2 linked regions of the Tribolium castaneum genome follow. The protein of the gene in region 1 purifies or fractionates together with the protein of each later gene. This does not show direct contact. Links are inferred from orthologs where the notes say so. Each region holds a gene or a part of one and is shown on either strand. Other genes may lie near its edges.

What was found.
Region 2: the proteins of Dis3 (region 1) and Csl4 purify together in Drosophila melanogaster (affinity purification with western blotting; 3 studies listed by BioGRID, with this or other methods). This does not show direct contact. The link is inferred for Tribolium castaneum from reciprocal best matches to the Drosophila melanogaster genes Dis3 and Csl4.

What each region holds. Positions count from the first base shown.
Region 1 is NC_087394.1:36,185,647-36,190,937, forward strand, and holds the start of Dis3 (exosome complex exonuclease RRP44), read right to left. Parts: upstream 3,638-5,291; 5' UTR 3,160-3,637; coding exon 3,106-3,159; intron 3,057-3,105; coding exon 2,892-3,056; intron 2,840-2,891; coding exon 2,682-2,839; intron 2,631-2,681; coding exon 2,231-2,630; intron 2,156-2,230; coding exon 1,742-2,155; intron 900-1,741; coding exon 753-899; intron 705-752; coding exon 208-704; intron 87-207; coding exon 1-86.
Region 2 is NC_087401.1:17,298,978-17,303,022, reverse strand, and holds Csl4 (exosome complex component CSL4), read left to right. Parts: upstream 1-2,065; 5' UTR 2,066-2,152; intron 2,153-2,208; 5' UTR 2,209-2,365; coding exon 2,366-2,956; 3' UTR 2,957-3,012; downstream 3,013-4,045. Other genes in the region: uncharacterized protein LOC100141651, read left to right, coding at 1-46; protein HGH1 homolog, read right to left, coding at 725-1,725, 1,772-1,859.

The DNA of each region.
Region 1 (5,291 bases):
ACAGTTTTTTCACTTCCACGTCCAAGGGTTCCATCGTCTCGGAGTCCATCTGGATTTTTACCTCAGGCGATGCAAGAACTAAAGCTCTAATAAAGAAACAAAGTAACGTTAAAAAAATTGATTTTTGTTTGTTTGTTTGATTTTGACAAATTTTGTTGTATTGTGTATTTTATTGTAAAAAATATATTTGTAAATAAAAGTGCCTACCCATTAACCAGTCTGCGCTGCTTCATAATTTTGGCCAACTTGTTCAAGCTCCTCAAGGCCTCGGCCAGAGCGTCCTGCTTGGTCTTGTCGTCAATAATCAGTTGCGCCTCTTCATAAGTCATTGCTTTCCTCGACTTAATTATACTTTTATGAAATCGCGTACTTAAAATATTGGCATTTTGGTCCATTTCCCAAATGCAAGAAAACGCGAATCTTTCCTCTCCTCCTCGTAACGAACAAAGATTTGAACTGAGCAATGCTGGCACCATATCTATTCGATTATTAACCAAATACACTGTGGTGGCTCTAGAAGCAGCTTCGCGATCTAGAGGCGTTCCAGGTCTTATAAAATGCGAAACATCGGCAATATGAACACCAACTTCAAGTTTGCCGTCAGCTAGTGGACGACAATGAAGGGCGTCGTCAATGTCGGTACAACCTGGGGGATCCACTGAGCAAATGTCAAGGTGTCTGAGATCGACTCGTTTTTTGACGTCCTATTAAAAGCGCAATGAATAACAATCAGGGAGGAAAATAAACATTACATCATCGGTTATGATCCAAGGCATTTTGGGCAAACAATTGAGAACTTCCTCAGAGAATTGGCTGTGAGGGACGTCATGTTCCAGCAAAATGACCTCGTTTTCGGTGGTTTGGTCCCCAATGTTGCCCAAAGCTCGCACAAAATGACCCTATTTAAAAAATTACAAAAAATTAATGCAAAAAGAAATTTTTTCCTGAGTAATTTTTTTTTATGCAACTTCCTTATTTTAAATGGATTAGTGGAATTATTTTAAGGCTATTTTTATCAACTTTCCCTATACCTAAGTTGAACCATTTTCAGGATATTTAAGATTTTTTGAAAATTTTTGGATTTGCATCTGTCACTTAAAAAATCGGTAACTCTCTTAGCTTTGGAGATTTCAAAATCATATTTGGAGGATTAAAAGAGAAAGCCTCTATCTGTTCTGCAGTGTATTCAAAATTGGAAAAGACGTTATTAAACCCAAAAATTTTAAAGTTTGAACAACTTCAAGTGCCCATAACTTAATTTTTTCAAATGGGATGTCCCAATTTTTATTTTATTAAATGGAAGAGAATTTTTTTCTACATCGATTTGTATTAGCATTTCCTATAGCTATCTGTGATAATTTTCAAGTTATGTTACTTTTTTTGACATTGTAGAAAATTTCTTACTAATCACAGCTGTTTTTGCATAGTTTGCCATAAAAACATTTCTGAATCAGTCAGTTTTTAATGTCTTTTAATATTAGTGTTCTAAATGTTGACTCTTATTATAGTAGAATGGAAATTACCTCTAAAATAAATAAATTTTATTACGACATTATTATTGACGCTTTCTTAACATGCTTCCAATTTTTTCTTAGACTAAGTTGTAAACTGTTGTTTTTTTATTTTATTTGTTAGTGTTTCTTTATAATCATTGTTTGTCTTTGATTTATTGTATTTTCAGCTTACCTTTAGTGGTAATTTTTTTTGAGTAAATAATTATTTATTTACTTATAACACTTACATGAGGATAGCGTGAATGTTTGGGCCAGGAATCAATCGTAACGATCAATTTCTGAGTCCTTAGAAACTCCGCTTGTCTCGTTTCTATTTTAATTTTGGGTATACTTTTATCAGCTGGAACAAACATCTGATAAACACCATCAATGCCCCCTTGTAAAATGCCACAATATTGTCTCCACTTTCTACGAATAATTCCAACAACACGTCCTGTAGGTTTAGCTCCACTTTTCTTCTTTGTCGCTTTTTGTAACTCGTTTTCTTTTGTCACAACATCGTCAACACTCTCATCACCAACCCCTTCATCCTCTAGGATTATTTCACTCGGACACACCCATTCCTCCTCTTTCAAAAGCTCAACAGCTACAGTGTCACCATCCACTGAGCGGTTAAGGCCAGCCCGACCCTGAACTATCACCTACAGAAAATAAAAACAAATAGCTTCGCTTCGAGTTTCAATATTAAAAATAATGTATTTATAAAATTGCCTTACCGGCTCTTCGTACGAATCCACATTGACAAAACCTTCCAAGAAATTATCTCGAGAGGCTCGGAAAGTCCCCTGGAGCAGCTTTCCCTCTCTTATGCCAGTCAAAAGCTCAACATTACTCAAATGGTTGGGAAAAACGTCTTTCGTAAAATCATTTCCGTGAAAATCTTTCCTCGATAATTTATCGGTAAGACCCGAAGTGTTGAGATTTTGCACATATTCCGAGACGGTGTAAGAAGGTATATCCTCTTTTTGGGCTTTAATCCGATTAGCTGAGTCGTCAGTGAGGAAAACGAATTTTTGTTTAGGGGCATGGTTTATGTACCAGGAACACGCAGCTCTAATACACCTGTCATTGTAATCATTAATTAATTCACCTTCGTTTTGTTGCAAATAAGTGCCTCTGGAAGCAATGTTTTAGGTTTGTATCAATATAATGAAAAAATGTTTTTACTGATGGTGGTCGTTTATAAAAACGTAAAAATGACGACTCGGATTTTCAATTACAGCACACAAGCGTTTGTAAATTGGTAGACTTCGGTGCTTCACCTCGTTTAAAACTGTGTGGAGGATTATCACATTACCAATGACGGACTCTTCCAAAATATCCATCTAAATTTGTAATTTAAATGCTAGTTTTATAAAAAATAAACTCGGAAAATACCTGATCAAGAACAACATTTGTGTCTAGTATTAGATAATGATTAGAAGTAAATAAAGAACATTTGTTTTCGTGGTCTGGGGACAGGAATGACTCCACTGGCAAACAAGTTTCACACTCTTGAAGACCACAAGAAATGTCATCACGAATATAATGTTCTCGAACGTGCTACAATATTAGAAAAGATGGACCCCCATGTTTATTGTCACATACTAACCTTCAGATAATTCCCAACTTTGTTCTTTTTAATAAAAGCTTTAGTCGTAAACATTGTTTAATTATTTCAAATGTTTTTTTACAAAAACATGCCGCAACAAGTTATTTGGAGGTTATATTACAATATTTTTTGTGGTTATGTTTTTGTTGACAGCTGAGGCGGGAAATATAAAAAACTGTTTTTTTATTATAAAAAATACAAAACAAAAATTCTTACATTGTTCCAGCAATTATGAATACAAAAGACCATTACCATATTACCTAGTCATGCACAACGTTTTATTAAGAAATCTAACTCCCACTGCTATATAAACATGCTAATTTATTAAAAATATGCAATAAACGTGTTCCCCATGCGACTTAATTAGTTGCAGAAGCAAAATGAAAAATTATACATCCTGTACGAGTTGCTATTGATAAGTACAGTCACCCAAAATGAAAATGACGTGTCTATAACGCCCAAGTTTTAAGAAATTCGACATTTCGTTTATCATCATTTGAAATAATTGAGGGTTTCATTTTTTGGAAAATTTAATTAATTAATAAATAAATAATAAATTATTAATAAATAATAATAATAATAATAATAATAATAATAATAATAATTATAGTAATAAAAGCTTTTATTAGAGACAAAATGTGAGGGAGCAATCTATAGTTTACACGGTTGATGCAAAATATAAATTTCAATGTGAAATTAAATTTGCTGTATAATGAACAAATTTGAACATTAATTAAAGTATTTTATGATATTTATCTTATTCTTGATAATTTTTACGAAATAATCAGAAAAATAAAAAAAAAATTTTGTTTCATTTTCAGCTCGGTTTATTTAGGTAATACATTCCAAAAAGCTTGGAAAATTTTGTAATTTTGTAATTTTGAGACGTTGTTTTGTCAAAAGATTTATGGATTTAGACGTTTTTTTTTATCAAATATTGTAAAATAAATGAGTATCTTATTCAAAAATGCACGGTAGGTGGTTGTTTATAGACGCATCATTTTCATTTTGGGTGACTGTACTTAGCTTCCCATATAAGTAAAACCACGATATTTAAAAACACAGTTTATAAAATATTTGTTTCGTTCCGGAAACAAGTCTTCCGAGGCGTTTTTCCACATTTTTATCATGTAATTTAGTTAACAAAAAATTATTCTTTTTTTTTATAAAAAAAAAATCATAAAGTAAATTCTTAGGTCGTGGAGAAACTTCTTTGCTTTGCTGTCCTAACAACAGAAAATTATTTTTTTTTTGAACTCAAGTCACTCGAACGAGCGTCTGATCAGCATTCAAAGTTTTTCTGACAAACTGATTTAAAAAATTAGTTTAATAACTTGCGGATTTTACAAAAAAAGTAAAAACCTCTCAGACTAACTTTTGTCTCAAATTTTTTGAAATTCGTTTTAATTTTTGAGTAAATGAGTTCGGAGAATCTTTGAGATGAGCTCGGAACGCAACTGTAACAATTTATCTATCACGAATCGTCTTGATATTTGGCAAAACTTAAAAATTAAAAAACAATCACATTTTTAACAGCCTTGATAACGTACTAATTACTTTGTTCGTAAAACAAACAGATTAGGTATTTGCCGAACTTTACTATTCATTTATTTTCAAAACTATTATTAACGTATAACTCATAGAAAACAATAAAACACATAGATCAAGTTTATGTAACCATATGTTGCATACATGATACTTAAGCGTACCTGTGCATTGTTTAATGTCTACAAAAGTGAATTGAAAGGTATCACGTGTCGTCCTAAGAAAGTAGCTCAAAAATTGCCTAAGATAAGCTAGTTAATACTCATAATACACTCGTAGAAGGTTACATATTTTATTTACAGTAATTTATTTAACTAGCGCCAATTGAATTCATTAAACAAAACCTATCTGCTGTGGTGTGTAGTAGCTGTGAAGAATTACAAGCGTTGTTATTAAGTTACTGTGTTGTTCCAGGTAAATAAAAGCCCTTTATTGTCATACACAAGACCTTAAAAGTGTGACATAAATTATATTAAACAAATAAAAACGTCGGAAAATTCCTGTTTGTAATAAATAACTTGTAATTATTGTTTCCAACTGAATTATGAATTTTTCCACAACATTCGAACAATTTCTAATTAGAATCCGCGTCCTGTGATATTTGAAACAGAGCGACTTACAATCAATAAGAGCGTTCTTGC
Region 2 (4,045 bases), on another chromosome or scaffold:
TGCCAACTTTGTGATCGTCGTGGTGCAAGTCACTAATAAAAATTGAATTCTGATTTTTCACTTTTTCTTCCTGTTTTTATTGAACTTGAACGAAAAAAATCAACAAATTTGGACAAAAATGACCAAAAATTTATTTTTTTCTAAGCAAAAACTTAATTACTTCGCAATTTTTTTTTAAAAATCGGGTAATAAATCACAAAATTATTCAAAAATAACATTTTTTGCAAATTCTGAAAATATAAACACGTTTTTTTAAACCAAAAATCTAGTTTTTTTCCTGTTTTTATTAAAGTAGAATGAAAAAAATCACCAAATTTGGTCAAAAATGAAAAATAATTTACTTTTTCTAAGCAAAAACTTCATTATTTCGCATTTTTTTAAATCAGGTAATAAATCAAAAAATTATGCAAAAAATGAAATTTTTTTGCAAGTTCTGAAAATTTAAACACGTTTTTTGACCAAAAATCTAGTTTTTTTTTTCATGTTTTTATTAAACTAGAACAGAAAAATCACCAAATTTGGTCAAAAATGAATGAAAAGTTACCGTTTCTAAACAAAAACTCAAATATTGCGCAAAATTTCTAAATAATTTAATTGTTATGGAAACGGCCAGAACAACAGTGACAACTGTTAATACAGTGAAACTTCTGTCACCCGAACTAATTCGTCCGAAATTATATATTTTTGAAATATATAGAAAGACGAAATTTAATTGTAAAAAAATTTATTCATCTTTTAAAAACTGCTCATCCGCTTTATTGAAGTCTTCGCTTAAACTTTGGGGCACTTTAAGTGTCTTCAAATCATCTTCTCCAATTTCCTCCTCGGTGCGTATCAAAATATCGACCAAATTTTCACACGCTAAAAGCACCTTTCTGTCCTTTTCCCACTTGTGCAACTCGCGCAAAATCACATAAGTGTTTCTCTCTCTGATAAATTCTCGATTTTTTCTCTTGGCACATAACTGGGTCAAAGCCTCCAGTAACATGCACCTGATATCTGGATCTTCTTCACGCTGTTTCTCCTCCGGGAGATATTGCAGTTCAAGGGGGAGCTTGTCGTTGTCTTCGTCGTCAAATTCCTCGTTTCCGGCCAGGGGGCGGAGCAGCCGGGGCAAGATATCGACATGGGGGCCCAAGAGCAGCTCATGACACTCGGGGTCAAATGTGCAGTTACGCAGGGCCCCCACGACGCCCCCGCGCCTCACGGCCGACTCCTCGAATTCAATGAAAGGCACGAGTTTGTGGATCCGGTCCAGGAAGCGTCTCCGGACGCGCCCACTTTGCGACAAGTTCGAAAAAAGGGGGCTCAAGTAGTGGAGGTTAGCCCCCGCTTTATTGTACTGTTTTTTCGTGAAAATGTCAATCAAATCGTCCAAACTTGCGCTTTTCTCAAGCGCATCAATCACTTTATCGTGATTGGCCCGAGATAAGTTCGATAAAATCATGCAGGAAAAATCGGCGATTTTACTCATGGGGTCCGTCACGAATTTAACAACAGTCGAAGTAATGTCACTCGGGGGGCTCTGTAAAGGGGGGCACCCCACACTCGTGTCCAAATCAAGCAATGCCAGGGCCCCCTTGTGATCAGCAGAGACATTAACAAGGCAAAGTGCCGAGTCTTTGACAATTGTGGCGTTATTATCACTCAAAAGTGTGATTAAGGAGACCAGAAGTGACGGTGTGTTGATTAATGTGGCAATTCCGTCCGCATTCCCCGTCAAACCTACAAAAAAATTACAAAAAACAAGTCTAACCTCGAACCCTATTACCCAAAATGTGCCCCAAAGCCACCGATTTGAGGTCCAAACGGGCCCCCAGATGCACAAACTGCAACAATTCGGCCACGGAATCACCCATTATCAGGCTAAAGCCCCCAAAAAAAAACAAAACACGAGGGGTGACAGCTGTCAAAAAAGTGGGGTTAGGTGGCAAAAAATCATTCTAATAAGTAAGGCATTATTTTTTTAGGTTTATCTCTACGTTGTATGTATATACAGGGTGTAATGAGTAGTTAAATAAACATAACATAAACCAGTTTATTTAATTCTGTAGCCAAATTAATGGTCGTAATTGGTAATTAATGTTAATTAATGAATGAGAAAGTAAAATTTTGCAAATTCGTTTTTTGACAATTGACAGTGACACTTGACGTAACCTCAAAAAAATCAAAAATTTCGTTTTTGTGCTGATTTTTCGCATGTTATAGCTCCTTGTGTGCCTTTGATTGGCTTTGAACGTCGTCTGCCGTGATAATAATATTGACAGTAAAAGGAACACGCAGTTTTTGAAATTTCTTCATGTCAATTGACATTTGACTTAACCTCAAAAAAAATCAAAAATTTCGTTTTTTGTTGATTTTGGGCATGTCATCGCCCCTTGTGTGCCTCCCGGGGCAGCGGCTGTGCCTGTCGGACCCCTCGCACGTGTCCGGTCAAGGCACGTACGAGCGTGGGGGCTACATCTACGCCACCCTTGCCGGTGTTGTGGACATTGTCCCCAAAGACAACGTCCAGATCATTGAAGTGCGCAGTTCCGGGCAGGAAACGCTCGTGCCGTCACAGGGCGACATCGTCACAGCGCAAATTCACACAATCACGCAGCAGTTTTGCAAATGCTACATTAAGTGTGTCGGGGATAAGGTTTTGGGGCGGCAGTATCGCGGGATTTTGCGGAAGGAGGACGTGCGAGCGACGGAGAAGGACCGCGTGGAGATTTACAAGAGTTTCAGGCCCGGGGACGTGATTCTGGCGAGGGTTTTGCCGATCACGGAAGCTCACACTTATCAGTTGTCCACGGCTGAGAATGAGCTGGGGGTCGTGACGGCGCACTCGGAACATGGGGGGCTTATGGTGCCTGTGAGCTGGACGGAGATGCAGTGCTCCAAGACGTTTGTGAAGGAGGCCAGGAAGGTTGCAAGAGTTGTGCCAGAAAGCGTGCAAAATGATGTGAAATAATGTTCAATAAATTGTATTTTTGTTTATTTTAATAAACCCTTTTGCGTCCCTTAAAAGTGCAAAAAAGTTAATTGAACTATTAGAGATAACCCTATAAAGTTTATAATCGTTGGAAAGCTCTTTGGATTATCTATTTTTTTCAAAAATGATTATTGTTCTCCGACTAATAGTTTTCGAGAAAATTGCAAGCAAAAGCAAAAATTGGAAACATTAAAAAAATCATAACTAAAAAACTATCGGGAATTTGGCGATTTTCTCGATGTCAATCGATTTCCCGGATCATTTTGCATAGGTAAGGATCAAAATAGTTCCACTTTTTCGAATAGTTTAGCCGTAATTCGATAAAAATTGAAAAACTTAAAAAATCACGCTGCTTCCTGAAAAACGTGCTCAAAAAACTTAAAAATAAACGCAGGCGCGAAAATTTGAATTTGAACCTAATTCTTTAAATATCTCGGAAACTAAGCGTTGGGCGCAATTTTGTTCTATGAGAGAAAAGATGCAACTTGATGTAGTCTAAGCGACGGTCTGGTTGAAATTGTAATTTTCAATAGTCATTTTGCTATCTCTTTAAGGAGCCATAAAAGACCTACACATTTTTGTGTTTTTGTAATGTCCAGTTCAGGCGGTGAAGTTTGAGGGGTCACTCGATGGGGTTTATATTAGTTTGAAAAACCCACCCTTATATTTTTTTTCAACTTTTATTAATACTTTTTCTAGTTTCGGGAACTGTTTGCAGTGGAGAATAAGTTGGTTTTGATTTTAAAATTTTTGGTCAACTAGGAACAGAGATACGAGATTTATTTATTGAAGGGTTGTTTTTTATGAAAGTGGCTAAATGTCATTTAAATCTACTTATTTTGTTTTATTTTGTCTGTTGTTGCTGTAATTGTACGACCATGTTAAAAGTCCACAAAAACGTAAAAAAAACGGAATTTCCGCCCCACCAAAAACTAAGGGTGAGTTTATTTTTGTGTTTGTATGATGGCTGTGAGGGTCTCAATGCGTAATCGTAAAAGTGGGACTTAAAAAAAAAAAAAAAAAAAAAGGAGAAAGAAGGGGGTGAATTACATGTGGCCTATTCCATAT